2 linked regions of the Caenorhabditis elegans genome follow. The protein of the gene in region 2 interacts with the protein of the main gene of each other region in a biochemical or structural test. Each region holds a gene or a part of one and is shown on either strand. Other genes may lie near its edges.

The links. The genes of interacting proteins can lie anywhere in the genome.
Region 1: of the proteins of dct-1 (region 2) and ubq-1, one has a biochemical effect on the other in vitro, tested with the Caenorhabditis elegans proteins (one study listed by BioGRID).

Annotation. Positions count from the first base shown.
Region 1 is NC_003281.10:5,937,244-5,945,307, forward strand, and holds ubq-1 (Ubiquitin-related), read left to right. Parts: upstream 1-3,742; 5' UTR 3,743-3,747; coding exon 3,748-4,114; intron 4,115-4,164; coding exon 4,165-4,620; intron 4,621-4,673; coding exon 4,674-5,357; intron 5,358-5,405; coding exon 5,406-6,089; intron 6,090-6,139; coding exon 6,140-6,465; 3' UTR 6,466-6,584; downstream 6,585-8,064. Other genes in the region: F25B5.5 (CDK5RAP1-like protein), read right to left, coding at 6,673-6,843, 6,893-7,042, 7,086-7,216, 7,262-7,415, 7,460-7,820, 7,871-8,015. UniProt on the Caenorhabditis elegans protein: Ubiquitin exists either covalently attached to another protein, or free (unanchored).
Region 2 is NC_003284.9:7,950,722-7,957,571, reverse strand, and holds dct-1 (NIP3 homolog), read right to left. Parts: upstream 3,217-6,850; 5' UTR 3,198-3,216; coding exon 3,002-3,197; intron 2,820-3,001; coding exon 2,564-2,819; intron 2,133-2,563; coding exon 1,962-2,132; intron 1,912-1,961; coding exon 1,869-1,911; 3' UTR 1,386-1,868; downstream 1-1,385. Other genes in the region: sfxn-2 (Sidoreflexin), read left to right, coding at 1-210, 725-852, 903-1,005, 1,050-1,197. UniProt on the Caenorhabditis elegans protein: Initiates apoptosis in a BH3-independent mechanism possibly by recruiting ced-3 to mitochondria and other cytoplasmic membranes. Has a role in lifespan and tumor growth. Required for the induction of mitophagy under stress conditions.

The DNA of each region.
Region 1 (8,064 bases), on a different chromosome or scaffold from region 2:
GGGGACTTGCGAAATTTTGTTGGATTTAGGAAGGAAATGAAAAACTAAATTCACGATTTTTAGGTCACGGGTGACTGGGCTTTTTGAGCGGAAATTGGTTTTTCGTATATTTTTCTGCACACTTTTGTGTGTATGAGTGTTTTGGAGATTGTAATGCTTTTTAGATAATGTTAAAAAACAAGAATGGTCCTAAATTTTTCGACGTTGCAAAACGGGTTTTTCAAAAACGCAATTGAATATATAACTGTAATTCATGCGCTTTTCTCAGCTGAACACTATTTTAAAGTTGGAATAGCGACAGTTGGAATATTGTCAAAATATACTCATAATGAATTTAAAAATTACTATGTAGATATATGGACTCTAATGTGTTTTAGGGTTTTTCAAAATTTTCAGACTTTTTTTTTTGGCAGATTGCCAATTTTTTTTGGTAAAACGTGGACACTTGGAGATTCATGTAGCATTTTTGTATATTCAAAGTTCTACAATTTTCAGACACGAAAATATTTTTGAACAAGTTCCGAAGTTGTAATAGGCGCTACTAAAGACGTATAAACTTTTGTGTTTGGTCTTGCAATGAATGAAGTTTCTTGTTCGCAGAATAAAAAGTATACAATCTTCGCTGTAAGATCCAGATCTTTTTTTAGGTCACATTGGAAAGTTGAAAATATTGCCAAATCGTGGCAAGCAAAAAATTGCAACATGCTAATATCTTTCTAACCCTATAAACATCCCTTCAATCCCCTATTTTTCAAAACCCCACACTTATAATACCTTTTCCCTTCAACCCTTACCCGTTCCATCACTTTCCTCCCTATTTGCATCTTTCTTCTCTCACATGACCCGTGATGCTTTCTCCAAACCAGTCCCCACCATCCATTTCCGTGCTTGCATCATCATCATCATAGTCGTCAATTTTTCAAGATTGTATCTGTCTCCCTCTCGTTTCCCCACAGCCGACTTAACAAACACCTCTTTTCCGCACTTTCCGCACCAAAAACATGTTTGCGTCTCTCCGTGTTTTCTACCGAGATAGCCACACGTCAAGTAAGCGCCAGTGATCTCTCAATTGATAATACTTTTTTAAAAGGTTTCTCAGTTAACTGAACAATTGTGAGGAAGATACAAATAGTTATGACGTGGCTTAAAAAGAGAAAAATGATGATGAAATAAATCATCACTATTCATTGCTATTCGTTAGAATGCAGGATATAAATCACGATTTTCGTTTTCGAACACAACTTTAAACTTCAATTTTTCCTTTGTTTCTCTGAAAACTTTGCAGTCATTTTCAAGCTTCCACAGAACTTTACAAAAAAACTAGATTTTCTCCAACGTGGCGATATTCCCGAGTTTCGAGAAGAATCCAGCTTGTCAATGCTGTATAAAACCTTTACTTTTCTATCGTTTCCATTATTTCTTTCACTGCACCTGTTACTGCCAGGTGCTTTATTTCCGCCTATCGTCTATTTTGTTTTCCTCCTACCAAATTTGACAACCCTCCGCAAACACTCATTCCTATTTTAGCCCGGTGAAATTTCGATATGGAGAAAAACAAAAACAAGTGTGAGCTTCCACTTCGGAATAATTTCCGGAGAATGAGAATTGTACAATTTTCTCCTATAAGACCATACAATAAAATTTTATCAGAAACATGAAGCTTTGGTCATTATCATTTTTTGTTACCCTTGAAATTTGATCACAAGGCTTTAATTTTTCATGAGACGTCAATTTTTTCTGATGATAAATAACATAGTTCAAAGTATTGCGTAATGTTTCAATTTTAACATGACACATAATAAATCAGAAACTCGAAAAACGTATTTAAATATAGATTTTGTCGGGAAGTTTAATGTGCAACTGTCTCGATATCTTTCTTTGAAAACATTTAATTTTTATTATATTTTCCAAACTGGATTCGAGAATTCTCGTATTCTTAAACAAATTTACAATGAAAATATAAATAATTAATTTAAAGGAACATGTTCTGCAATCCTCCCTGGGTCCCGCCACGAAACCGCCACGCACTACCATGAAAGGCGCGTTCGCATTCGTTCTGCCGCTCGTTTCTGTTTTCCAGATCTTTCCATCATTTTCTTCATTCATTCGCGCTCTCTCATTATCTTGAGTTGCCGGCTATTTTCGCTGCTCTCTGCTTTTTCGTATCGCTTTTTCACTCTTTCCAGCATTCAGAAAATTGCATTATTTCGGTTTTCATTTAAAAAACTCATAGCAAAGTATTTTGTTATTGATTTCGCAATACTTTCGAAAAGTATCGGAAAATTTTAATGTTTAGTCTGTGCGTTCCTCATTCCCTGTTCTCGTTGTACTCTTAACTGATGTTTTTAAATTTAGTTTTCCGGGGCTCTCTTGAAAAGACCCAATAGTCGTATTGAACCTTCGCCTGATCGCCACTAGCTCATCTTTTAGTCTTATGACGGGCTCACATGATTCTCCCCAGTGTCCTCCCGTTTTCTCACTGCACTTGTTTTGTCGTTCGTTCATCAGTACAAAGTACAAGCACTTTCGCGTCTGTCTGAAAATTGGTTCGGGTGCCGTTAGGACATTATTCATACTTTCCTGCTAGTCGCAGATTATAAAAAAATGTCCTTGACCGTCTGCTCTTTCTTATGTTCTCCCTATATATGCGTCAAACGAACAACTGACCCTGTTCACTTTTCCTATTCTTCGTTTCATCATTTTCTGTAACAAAAATGGAAACAATACTTTACACAGACGTCACTATTATTCAGGCCTATGATTTCTCTATCGTTTAGTTAAAGATGAAAAGAAACTGGTCGACCCAGTTGCATGACGAGAAAAAAGAACACCCCGTTCGATTTTCGTTGTATTCCCTCTGCACACATTGTCCCCTTCTTCCTCATCATTTCTTTCCCTACACAGCACTCTAGAATGTTCTTCTTGTGCAGAAAGAGTGCCGTTTGAGTCAGCGACCCCCCCCCCCCCCCTCCTTTCTCTTGCTCTTCCTCACTGGTTCTCGTAATAGGCGACTTCTTGCTAACAGAAAGTGAGCATAGCAACATTTTTTACTTTGTGGCCTTCAATAATACGTGCGTCGTTTAATTAGAATGTTTGAGTAAAGTTCAACGTGTAGATTCAATATTCACGTTTTGGGCGCTCTTTAATTTATTACTGTCAAGAATCAGTTTACCAAACGGTGAGTTTCTTTTTTTTTGTCTAATTGTAAGATTTAGCGGGGTAAAACCAACAGAAATGTCATGCTTTTTTGAATAATCTCAATCAGTTGTTATATGAATTATTTTCCCATTTTAGCAATACTGCTTGGTAGTTATTTTCGGTCAGAGAAACGAGGACATCAGCTGAACATCTGCGTCTCTAACAACACTCGGGGAAGGCGGAGTCAGTGTGCGCGTGCGTTGGGGGTTTTATCGATCGTTGAGGCGGGCATACAGCAGTCATACACCCCATTCGACCAGAACGCTCCGCTCGCGTGCCACCTTGTCTCCATTCTCATTTCACTTGTCTCTACTCGGACATTACTCCTCATCGATTAGCTCTTTACTACCATTTTACTTTTATGCCTTTCTTTTTTCGTTTGACTTGCCTATGACGAGTGGGGATGAAGTTTGCTTTGTTAGTCTTACTAGTGTATCGATTTTTTGGGTAATATTTCGCAACTTTCTAGGACTTTCTTTCATAATCACCTCTTCTCTCGCCTCCTCATTCCAGTTTTATTCGCACTCATTTTCTATTTTTTCAGCAATCATGCAAATCTTCGTCAAAACGTTGACTGGAAAAACTATCACCCTGGAGGTGGAGGCTTCCGATACCATCGAAAATGTCAAAGCCAAGATCCAAGACAAGGAAGGAATTCCACCAGATCAGCAGCGTCTCATCTTCGCCGGAAAGCAGCTCGAGGACGGCCGCACCCTGTCTGACTACAACATCCAGAAGGAATCTACTCTTCACTTGGTTCTTCGTCTTAGAGGAGGAATGCAGATCTTTGTCAAGACTTTGACTGGAAAGACCATCACACTTGAAGTTGAAGCTTCCGACACGATCGAGAACGTCAAGGCCAAGATTCAAGACAAGGAGGGAATCCCACCAGATCAGCAGCGTCTTATCTTTGCTGGTATGTTACATATAACAAATTTTGTTCATGAGAGACTAATTTTTTTCCAGGAAAGCAATTGGAAGATGGACGCACACTCTCTGATTACAATATTCAGAAAGAGTCTACTCTCCACTTGGTGCTCCGCCTCAGAGGAGGTATGCAGATCTTCGTCAAGACATTGACTGGAAAGACCATCACACTTGAAGTCGAAGCTTCCGACACGATCGAAAATGTCAAGGCTAAGATTCAAGATAAAGAAGGAATCCCACCAGATCAGCAAAGACTTATCTTCGCCGGAAAGCAGCTCGAGGACGGCCGCACCCTTTCGGACTACAACATCCAGAAGGAATCAACTCTTCATTTGGTTCTCCGTTTGAGAGGAGGTATGCAGATCTTCGTCAAGACATTGACCGGAAAGACCATCACCCTCGAAGTCGAAGCCTCCGACACCATCGAAAATGTCAAGGCCAAGATCCAAGACAAGGAAGGAATTCCACCAGATCAGCAGAGACTTATTTTTGCTGGTACGTTGGCAAAATATCTAATATTTGACCTAAAATTTATTATATATTTTCAGGAAAGCAACTCGAGGATGGCCGTACCCTTTCGGACTACAATATCCAGAAGGAATCAACCCTCCATTTGGTGCTCCGCCTAAGAGGAGGAATGCAGATCTTCGTCAAGACTTTGACCGGAAAGACTATTACTCTTGAGGTTGAAGCTTCTGACACTATTGAGAACGTGAAGGCCAAGATCCAAGACAAGGAAGGTATCCCACCAGATCAACAGCGTTTGATCTTTGCCGGAAAGCAACTCGAGGATGGCCGTACTCTCTCCGATTACAACATCCAAAAGGAGTCTACTCTTCATTTGGTTCTCCGTCTCCGAGGAGGAATGCAAATCTTCGTCAAGACTCTTATCGGAAAGACCATCACCCTCGAAGTCGAAGCCTCCGATACCATCGAGAACGTGAAGGCCAAGATTCAGGACAAGGAAGGAATTCCTCCAGATCAGCAACGTCTCATCTTCGCTGGAAAGCAGCTCGAAGACGGCCGCACCCTTTCGGACTACAACATCCAGAAGGAATCAACTCTTCATTTGGTTCTCCGTTTGAGAGGAGGTATGCAAATCTTCGTGAAGACTTTGACTGGAAAGACTATCACCCTCGAAGTCGAAGCCTCTGATACCATCGAAAATGTGAAGGCCAAGATCCAAGACAAGGAAGGAATCCCACCAGATCAGCAGCGTCTTATCTTTGCCGGTACGTTATATAGATATACATAACTCAAATCAACTATTATTATTTCAGGAAAGCAATTGGAAGATGGGCGCACGCTCTCTGATTACAACATTCAGAAGGAATCTACTCTTCACTTGGTTCTCCGTCTCCGAGGAGGAATGCAGATCTTCGTCAAGACTCTTACAGGAAAGACCATCACGCTCGAGGTGGAAGCTTCTGACACTATTGAGAACGTGAAGGCCAAGATCCAAGACAAAGAAGGTATCCCACCAGATCAGCAACGCTTGATCTTCGCCGGAAAGCAACTCGAGGATGGCCGTACCCTTTCGGACTACAATATCCAGAAGGAATCAACCCTCCATTTGGTGCTCCGTCTCAGAGGAGGTATGCAGATCTTCGTCAAGACATTGACTGGAAAGACCATCACACTTGAAGTCGAAGCCTCTGATACCATCGAGAATGTGAAGGCCAAGATTCAAGACAAGGAAGGAATCCCACCAGATCAGCAGAGACTCATCTTCGCCGGAAAACAACTCGAAGACGGTCGTACCCTCTCCGACTACAACATCCAAAAGGAGTCTACTCTTCATTTGGTTCTCCGTCTGAGAGGAGGTATGCAGATCTTCGTCAAGACATTGACCGGAAAGACCATCACCCTCGAAGTCGAAGCCTCCGACACCATCGAAAATGTCAAGGCCAAGATCCAAGACAAGGAAGGAATTCCACCAGATCAGCAGAGACTTATTTTCGCTGGTGAGTTCATATTGTTTTTAGAATTAAAACTAATTTTTATTGTTTTTCAGGAAAGCAACTCGAGGATGGCCGTACCCTTTCGGACTACAATATCCAGAAGGAGTCTACTCTTCATTTGGTGCTCCGTCTCAGAGGAGGTATGCAGATCTTCGTCAAGACTTTGACTGGAAAAACCATCACTCTCGAGGTCGAAGCTTCGGACACCATTGAGAATGTCAAAGCCAAAATCCAGGATAAGGAGGGAATCCCACCAGATCAGCAACGTTTGATCTTTGCTGGAAAGCAGCTCGAGGATGGACGCACTCTATCCGATTACAACATCCAAAAGGAGTCGACACTTCATCTCGTTCTTCGTCTTCGCGGAGGAGACATTTAAATCGAACCCATCAATTCACTCGTTATTCCTCCTCGATCTCCGTTCAAGTAACAATTATTTATTCTTTATTCCTTCGGGAATTTCTGTATTTTAATGAACGAGCTCTGAATAAATTCATTTTCGTGTACTCAAACGATTTATCTTTAACAATAACAAACAACAAAGATAACTACTCTATGAAGTGTAAGGTTCAACTATATTTATAGATCAGATGCTGGATTGTCCTATGAGTTGCGCTTTCAATGTCTGCGAATTGGCGTCGGTGATCAGAATCTTTGCATATTGACCAGGTTCCAAACAGAGTTTCGAATTGTCGAACACTGCTTTCACACCACCATCGATCCTTCCATGTGAAAATGATGCATCCCTTTTTGACTTCTAAAAATATTATTTTAATTCATTTTATTGGTGTTTATAGATGACTCACTCCTTCCAACAAAACCGTCTGTTCCGACCCGATAAGCGCTTGGTTCAATTTCAATGCTTCTTCCCGAAATACAGTAGTCAAATCTAAATGTCTTCTTGCTTTTACATCTTCTGGAACATCGTCTGTTAACCGATGATGTGCTCGCGTTTTCTGAAAATAATCTGATAGGAACAATTTTCAGCAACTGACTCACTCCACGCATACTGTAGGGGAAAACGAAGCAGAATGAATAACGAACGGCTCGAATGAGGGAAAGTGTGTTCTGATGAGCTTGTTCAGTTTCTCCACAGAATCCGGCAATGAAGTCACTTGTCAGAGAGACGCCTGATAAAATAATTAAGTTTTGTTTGAAGAGTGATTCATACTCACTTGGTAAAACATGTCTAATATCATCAACTAATCTCAAATACAGATCTCTTGTGTATCCTCTTTCCATCCGTTCCAATGTCTCATCATCTCCACTTTGTGCTGGAAGATGAAGTTGTTTGCAGAGATTTGGACGGGATGCAATAAGCTCGATCAACTGAAGGTTATCATGATTATCAATTAAAGCTTCATAAAAGTTACCTGCATCGGGAAATCCTTTGGATGCGGGGAAGTGAACCGAAATCGGATATCTGGAGCTGCATCAGCGACTTTTTCAAGCAATGTTGTAAAGGTCAGGCCCCCACTTTTTGGTTTATAAACAGTCTTAAAACCGGGAACTCTGTCCTCTTGTGATGTCGATGGAGCCATTGAGAAATCCATCGATGTCATATCTCTATAGCTATTCACATTTTGTCCAAGTAGTGTGACCTGTTTGTATCCCTGATCTCGAAGCCTCTGAACTTCTTCTACAATTGATTCAATAGGCCGACTTCGTTCTCTTCCTCTTGTGAATGGAACCACGCAGTATGTGCACATATTGTCACAGCCTCGCATGATCGAACTGAAGTTTTAAAATGTTTTTTTAAAATTGAAATTTTTAAATCGACAAACATGAAAGCCGTCTTGGAAGCACTATCGACTCGAATCGGTTGCACATCTGCATACGTTTCATCGAGAGAAAGTTGCACATTAATTCCATTTGAACCACCTGCAGCAACTGCGACAAGGCGAGGAAGATCTCGGTACGAGTCTGGACCTGTAAAATTTGAGGTGTTTATTCATGAATTTTACGCATTTTTTAACGC
Region 2 (6,850 bases):
CAATTATACCAATCGAAATGCAAAGAGCACATTGACAACAAAAGACTTAGTTGTATCGTATTCTACAGCAGTGTCTGGAGCACTGGCAATGGCAATTGGGCTGAAAACATATTTTGCTAAGAAACAGAGCAGTCCTTTGGCTCAACGATTAGTACCACTGGGAGCCGTTGCAGTGGCTAATGCTATTAACATCCCTATGATGCGTCAGAAGTGAGTACTTATTAGAGAATAATCAGTATTTTTTAGTTTCAACCAAGTTTTTAAATGTTTTTAATCCGAGGTTAACTTTGTAGCCCTGAATCTGAAAGCTTTGAAATTTAGGAGTACAGAAATTTAAAGTTTGCTTTCTTATCAGTGATTTATTTTGAAACCCATTCAAAATTAAAATCAAAACGTAAAACTCCTAAAATCATTCCGCTTTTGACTTTTTTCTTATATGCAATAAGTTATTAATAATGAAGAGAGGTCAATGAAAAACTGGATTTTCTAAAATAAGGCTGTCTATGATGTTGCAGCTGAACCATTATGGTATTTTTATTTTGTAAACTGAAGACCATCTACTTTTGTATTCAACTAGAAACCGTAAAAAAAATTCGGAAATGTGTTGACCTATAAATTGAGGTTTTTCACGTTATTGTTGGCATATGGGTATAATTTTATGAGTTGAATTTAAATAGTGGAAATGTTGACTCTTCAAAAAGTTCTTTAAATCATTTTTTTAAAGTGAACTCAAAGAAGGTATGACTGTCACTGATGCCGATGGAAACAACGTTGGAGTTTCCCGGTTAGCCGCAGCTAAAGCCATCTCCCTGGTGGTTCTCTCCAGAAATATTATCGTTGCCCCATGCATGAGTGAGTTTAGCCGTTACTCTTTTCCTGTCATGCTTCATGCCTCATTTTAGTCCTCACTCCTGTCATCATGGAAGGCTTGAACAAAGTGGCCTCATTCCGGAAGCATATCAACAAACTCAACATTCCAACTCAATTGGCTTTAACTTTTGTGATGTGAGAGAGCAGTCATATTTCTAGACAACAAATGTGAATTTTAGTTATGGTGCAATGATTCCTGTCGGATGCGCTCTCTTCCCTCAGCAAAACTCTGTGAAGCTTTCAACATTGAAAAGATGGGAGCCCGAAGCCTTTGAAAAACTGAAAAATATCAAGGGAGATCGAGTGTACTTCAACAAAGGATTATAAGCGATTTATGAGCTTTTAGTTAACTAAACATAGATTTCAGCTTAATTTATTTCCGTGCAAATTGGTATTTAGAATGATTCGTTGTAGACATTTCTTGAATTGTGCAATTAATAACATCTGTGCAATTGTCTACTTATCAGTTTTTAAAAATTCCAGCATAATAAATTTAATCATAACTAAACAAAAATATATTTACATTTTATTAAAATGCGTGGTTTTGTAACAGTATTTTAGAAATATTTACAATTTGTGATGACAGAAAAACATGGAAAAGCAAGTTTCAGAATCAAAATGCCCAGGTAACAGCAAAGAAAAAGTCGTAATTACATTCAGTGTATAAAGCTATATTATGTACATAATTAATTTAAAATTACCTAATCGTGAGAGCAAATCGCGATTAGATGTGTTGAATTCAAAACTGTAGTAGGAATGTTTTGAGTATTAGGAATATTCAGGAGACAGTTTGAAAGATGACAATTTGGAGAGAAGGGAAACATGGCAAAATTATTGTTTATTCGAATCTTTTTGACAAGATGCAAGAAGACTCCGGAAGAATTTTGCAGAGAATGTAGTATTGTGAATCAAAGGGTAAAAATGCCCAATCTCCAGCACTGCTGGAATGTATGTACAGTGAAATGAGGTAAGTGGAACGTTAAAATTTTTGTTTGGAATTATTGACGATGATGTTTGATTAGTTTCCGGCAAACAGCAAATCTGAAGACAATCAGTTTTTCTGGAAGAAATTTCCTGAAAAAAATACTTACCCTACTGCTGCTCCAACGACAAAGCTGAAGATGTTGGTGACTAAGAAACCAAAGACTACGCGAACGTTGAAAAGCGAATCAGATTCGCATGGCAAGTATTGGTAGAGCTCTGGCTCGGGAGAGTTTGGCGGAGTGGTAAGGTTGGAGCCATATTGAACCATACGGACAGTCCTGCAAATTTTGTTTTTTTTTTCAACACAGAATAAAATCGGTATGGTTTGAGCAGGGGTGTCGACTAGCAATTCTACAAATTGAACCTTGCAACATGTTCTTCCAATATTTTCAGTAACATTTAGGTATGGAATATAAAAGTATTTTCAAAAAATCTCTTTTAGAAAATTTTCAATTAGCAAACATATTTTAGTTTAGATTGAAAGTTGAAAATTACTGAAAATAGTCCGACAAACTATGTAACTTTTCTCTAGCAGTTTTAATCTTTCAACAATGTATCTGCGTTTTTTAGAATTATTTTGAGAACATGCCATGCTGGCTTATTTTGTAGAACTGCTGGTTAGCAAATGCAGCGCATCCCTGGTTCTAAATTAATTTTGAAGTCTAAATAACTAAGCTTCTTTCAACCCATTAGTAGCTATAAAACTTACTTTGGAGGTGTATTTTCTGGCCGACTGCTCCAATCCCAAATCCAATCAGTATTCTTTCCGGGAGGAAGCATTTCTCTAACCAACTTGTACTTTACTTGTTCTAAGCTCTCGAATTCCACGTGAGGAGATTGTGCGATTGAGACTGGGCTCAGCCTCGAATCCTTATCTTTTTCATCAATGATCACCATATTAATATCGACGCTACTGCACAAACTGGTACGGCTTGGTGCCAGTTCCACCCACGATTCTGACATACCTGAAGCGTTCAAGAACATGGGAAATTTAAGTTGGAGTTAGTGAAAAGTGAATAGGTGTTAAATTTGTAAACTTGCAAAGATGTGTGTACTTTCAAAAAATCAAAAGCCCAATCGGTCACATGAGAATTCATCTAACGATTTGCCTAGGGCAAAAGTGTAATGAAAAAAAAGTAAAACAAACCAGGTGTACTCTCGGTCAATGGGGTGATAAATGGGTTTGAGACGGCTTTTGCGGATGGTGTTGTCTGTTGAGCCGATGACTGCTCCGTCTGCTGTTGCGGTTGCACAGACTCATCCGTCTTCTCGCCGGACGCAAAGTTGATCTTTCTTTTGATATCGAGCATTTTGGGTTTTGCAAACTCAAGAAATGAGGACATTGTTAGGAAAGACCCGTCTCTGAAACATTACTATTATACTATTATTACCAATTGTGTTTACAAATATGAGAAGAAATCGAAACTTGTAAAATTGTAAATTAAGAAATAGCGAAGTAGTTACGGGTTAACAATAAATACGAGTTGTTATAGCAACCCAACGATGCAGGTGTTGCTAGGTCCTTCATATCTACTCTACAAAATCAACAAACAAATTCAGAGTCTACACAAGCAGATGGCGTAGTTTATTTATAAACGTTTTCTCCAATAAAACAGAATTGGGGGCAAAAGTGAAGGAGGTCCGTTAGACAAAAAATTTCATAATACCTTTTCTACAGAGCAAATACCCGGAAAAAAAACTGGAGAGACGAATGAAAATATTTTGCTTTTCACAAAGTCGTTAAATTTTACTTTATTTTGAAACCTCATTCCGTCAGCCAGTCAGTTATTTATTTATTTGCTTATTTACATTTGTGCTATCTGAGACGCTCTGTGTGGTGTACTGCGAATGTTTGAGACGCGATTGTTTTGTTTTTCGTGGTGGGTGGACGACAAGAAAGATGAGATGACCGGATTGAATCGATTTAATATGAGAACAGAATAGTTGTGAATTAAAAAGAGCAAAAGCCAGAAATGTATTATATTTGTGAGCAAATATATATTCAACTGCCAAATAGGAAAAGGTTTATTTGATGGATTGGAACTAATAAACATTTGTCGTATTCGGCTTTTATTATTTGATAACCCTTGAGTATTTTTCAAATAAAGCATAGGTTCATAGCTCTCTTTAAAGAATTTATGAGAATGTTTTTTAAAAAATATTGCAACCCATCTTTTTTTCTCAAGAAATTCACAAAAATTGGTTCTCTCTTCTAATTTTAGAACTAAATGGAAAAGAGTGTAGCTAATTAGATAGTCAGAAAACGAGATGCCTGCTCACGCGTGTTTTTTACTCATTTTCACTACTTTTACTCACAAACTTGCTTTCAGCGTGATCAACTGTGGTTTTGAGACGGGTGTTTTTCGCAACACGTGATGCGACATAAAAATTTGAAATTAAGAAAGGCAATTAAAATAACATTACTGTGGAGAAATGAGAAGAGTAAAAGAAACAGGGCAAATTTATGAAATATATTTAAGAAAAAAATCAACGTTATTGATGTCAGGTGGCTGATTTTTGAGATAAAAGAGTCGTGGAAAATATGTACTATTCCGAAATCAGATTCTGAAAAGTTTGAACCAACTGAAAAAAGGGGGAAATGAAGGTTCTCAATCCTAGTAAAAGCCAATAAACTTGCGGCGAATTTCAGGAAATCAGAAATTCGAGGAAAATGGTAGAATTGGCACCCAGCCAGGCATATTATTATGTCGCGTGATACACCAACAAACACAGACGCTCTCTGTCTCACTTTTCGCTCGCATTTTCGCTTTTCCGAAGTACATGTGACCGTATTGCCAACAAACCAGATATTGTTTCTAAAAAAGAAATGGAAAATGTAGATGAGAAAATAATTATTGAAAAACTAGGTAGAAGAACAAAACTGATGCATACAAACTAATATGAAATAACTTAAGAAACTTCTTTCCACAAACTTGTCTTACTAATTAAATAAGAATCTGATCAGATTGTGAACTTCTTAAATGTCATGTTGGCCAGAATTTTGCACGGAAATGTGATTGAATCGAAAACCGAGTTGACAGGCGGGCACCCATCATGAAAAATCAAAAAGTTCACATGATACACCTCACCACTTTTCGAAAGTCGAACTTGCAAGTGACACCGGTCACAACAATTAAGACAAATAAAACGAATAGCAAATTACTAAAGAAGATTTGGGTCGCAATTATCTACTATCTACTCTATCCGCCAATATAACAGGGTTGAACAGGCGAATGTGATGCAATCATATGATGTTCACATGTGGATCGTACTTGTTGCACGTAGACCAACATGTTTTTCAAGAAACACAGGTGTAGATTGATTGAACTGAAATAAGATTATGCGTGGTACAGAAGATGCAGACAGTTTGACATAAAAATGGTTCTATGGGTAGAAAAATAGATAAGGAGGTGTTTGATTGATGTTTGTTTTATGAATGATAAACAAACTTTGTTCTGAGGATTGGAATTGAGCTTTTGCGGATAGACAAAAAACAAACGATAATGCATACCACCTTTATTAGTTTTTCAAATAGTACTTCTTATTGCGAAAATTTTGAGACTGAGGTGGGTTTTTTTTTGAAAAAGCTGAAAAAATATTCGAAATCGACAAGAAAGTTAGAATGGCCAAACCAAAAAAAACTGGCTTCACTTCTTAATTATTCTTCTCAAGATACACAAGAAATTTTTTTGCGAGAATCAGGCATAGGAAAACAGAAAAGTCACAGGGGGGGCTCTTTCTCTTTTCCCGGCTGTTAGTCATATGACCACCACGTATTTACCAAAAGGAGGCCGAGGAGGGGAACGCCGTGAATAGAGAACGAGATACGGAGAACACGAATCGATGGGTGGATAAAAGAGAAGGGGTGGAAGAAGTGGTAAAAGGGTGGTGGTTCACCAACAAGCACGTCAAGACAGGCAGCAGCCAGGAATACGTGGTAAATCATGTGAGACCGCATGCAAAAAGTGCACATGACCAGTCGCACGCAGGCGGAAAAGTTCATAAAGAGCACGCGCAATGAAGAGACGCAGCGGGGGAGACGATCAGCTGATGTTTAGAATTGGATGCGTATGTAGCCGTGGAATGGACACACACACTCGGACTTATTGGAGATGCCAATTGGCAGGCAGCTCTTGCCAGCCGAGACGGCGCTCTATTCGCTGAATAATGAGCGTTACTCTCTTCTCTCTTTATAGTTGAAACTATTCGATAGAGAAAACAGAGAAAAGAGGAGAATGAGGAATTTTATATCGACTATATGGGAGCATTAACCAGTGAAGTTGAATTAGCAGTTGGGGAGATTACATTTTTCAAAAACTAGGTTCTAGTGAGGTGATTTTTTACCTGAAAAGAGAGGATAAACTGTTCAACAACTTTAAGGAATATCATATCAATACGAAGTGTAAGAATTTTTAATTCAAAAAATTCCAGAAACGTCAAGAAACTCTTGGTGTTCTTTTTATGTTCTCTATGTGAATATGTATTGTTGAAAATTTCGCATTTTGTAGAGAAGCTTGAAGTCCATTTTAGACATGAAACAAACGTGATTTTAGATTTAAAAATAGTTTTATGGACCAATTTTCTCGATTTTACGTCAAAAACTCTTGCGAAAATTGGTCCACGTAATAATGTGGAAAATTCTTTCGAAATTTTTTTTTTTAATTTCTGAAAACGGATTTGAAATTTATCTGTAGGATGTACTAACTACATGAAAATAAATATTACCGATAAGTTTTCATATACTGAAAACTTGAGTATTCTCGAAATGAAAAGTGCCCTGAAAGGTACATTTAGAAAAGCTTAAACAACGTTTTTTTTTTTAATAATTGACAGGTTCCACTGAAAATGCTAATCCAAAATTATTCATAAATGCCTAATAAATGAGCTAAATTCAATAACGGCACATTATTCAATAAAACATAATTTTCGGCGCATTTGAAGATTTTGGTTAGACTGAGGCCTTTTTTTCGAAACTATGAAGCATCACAATTTTTTT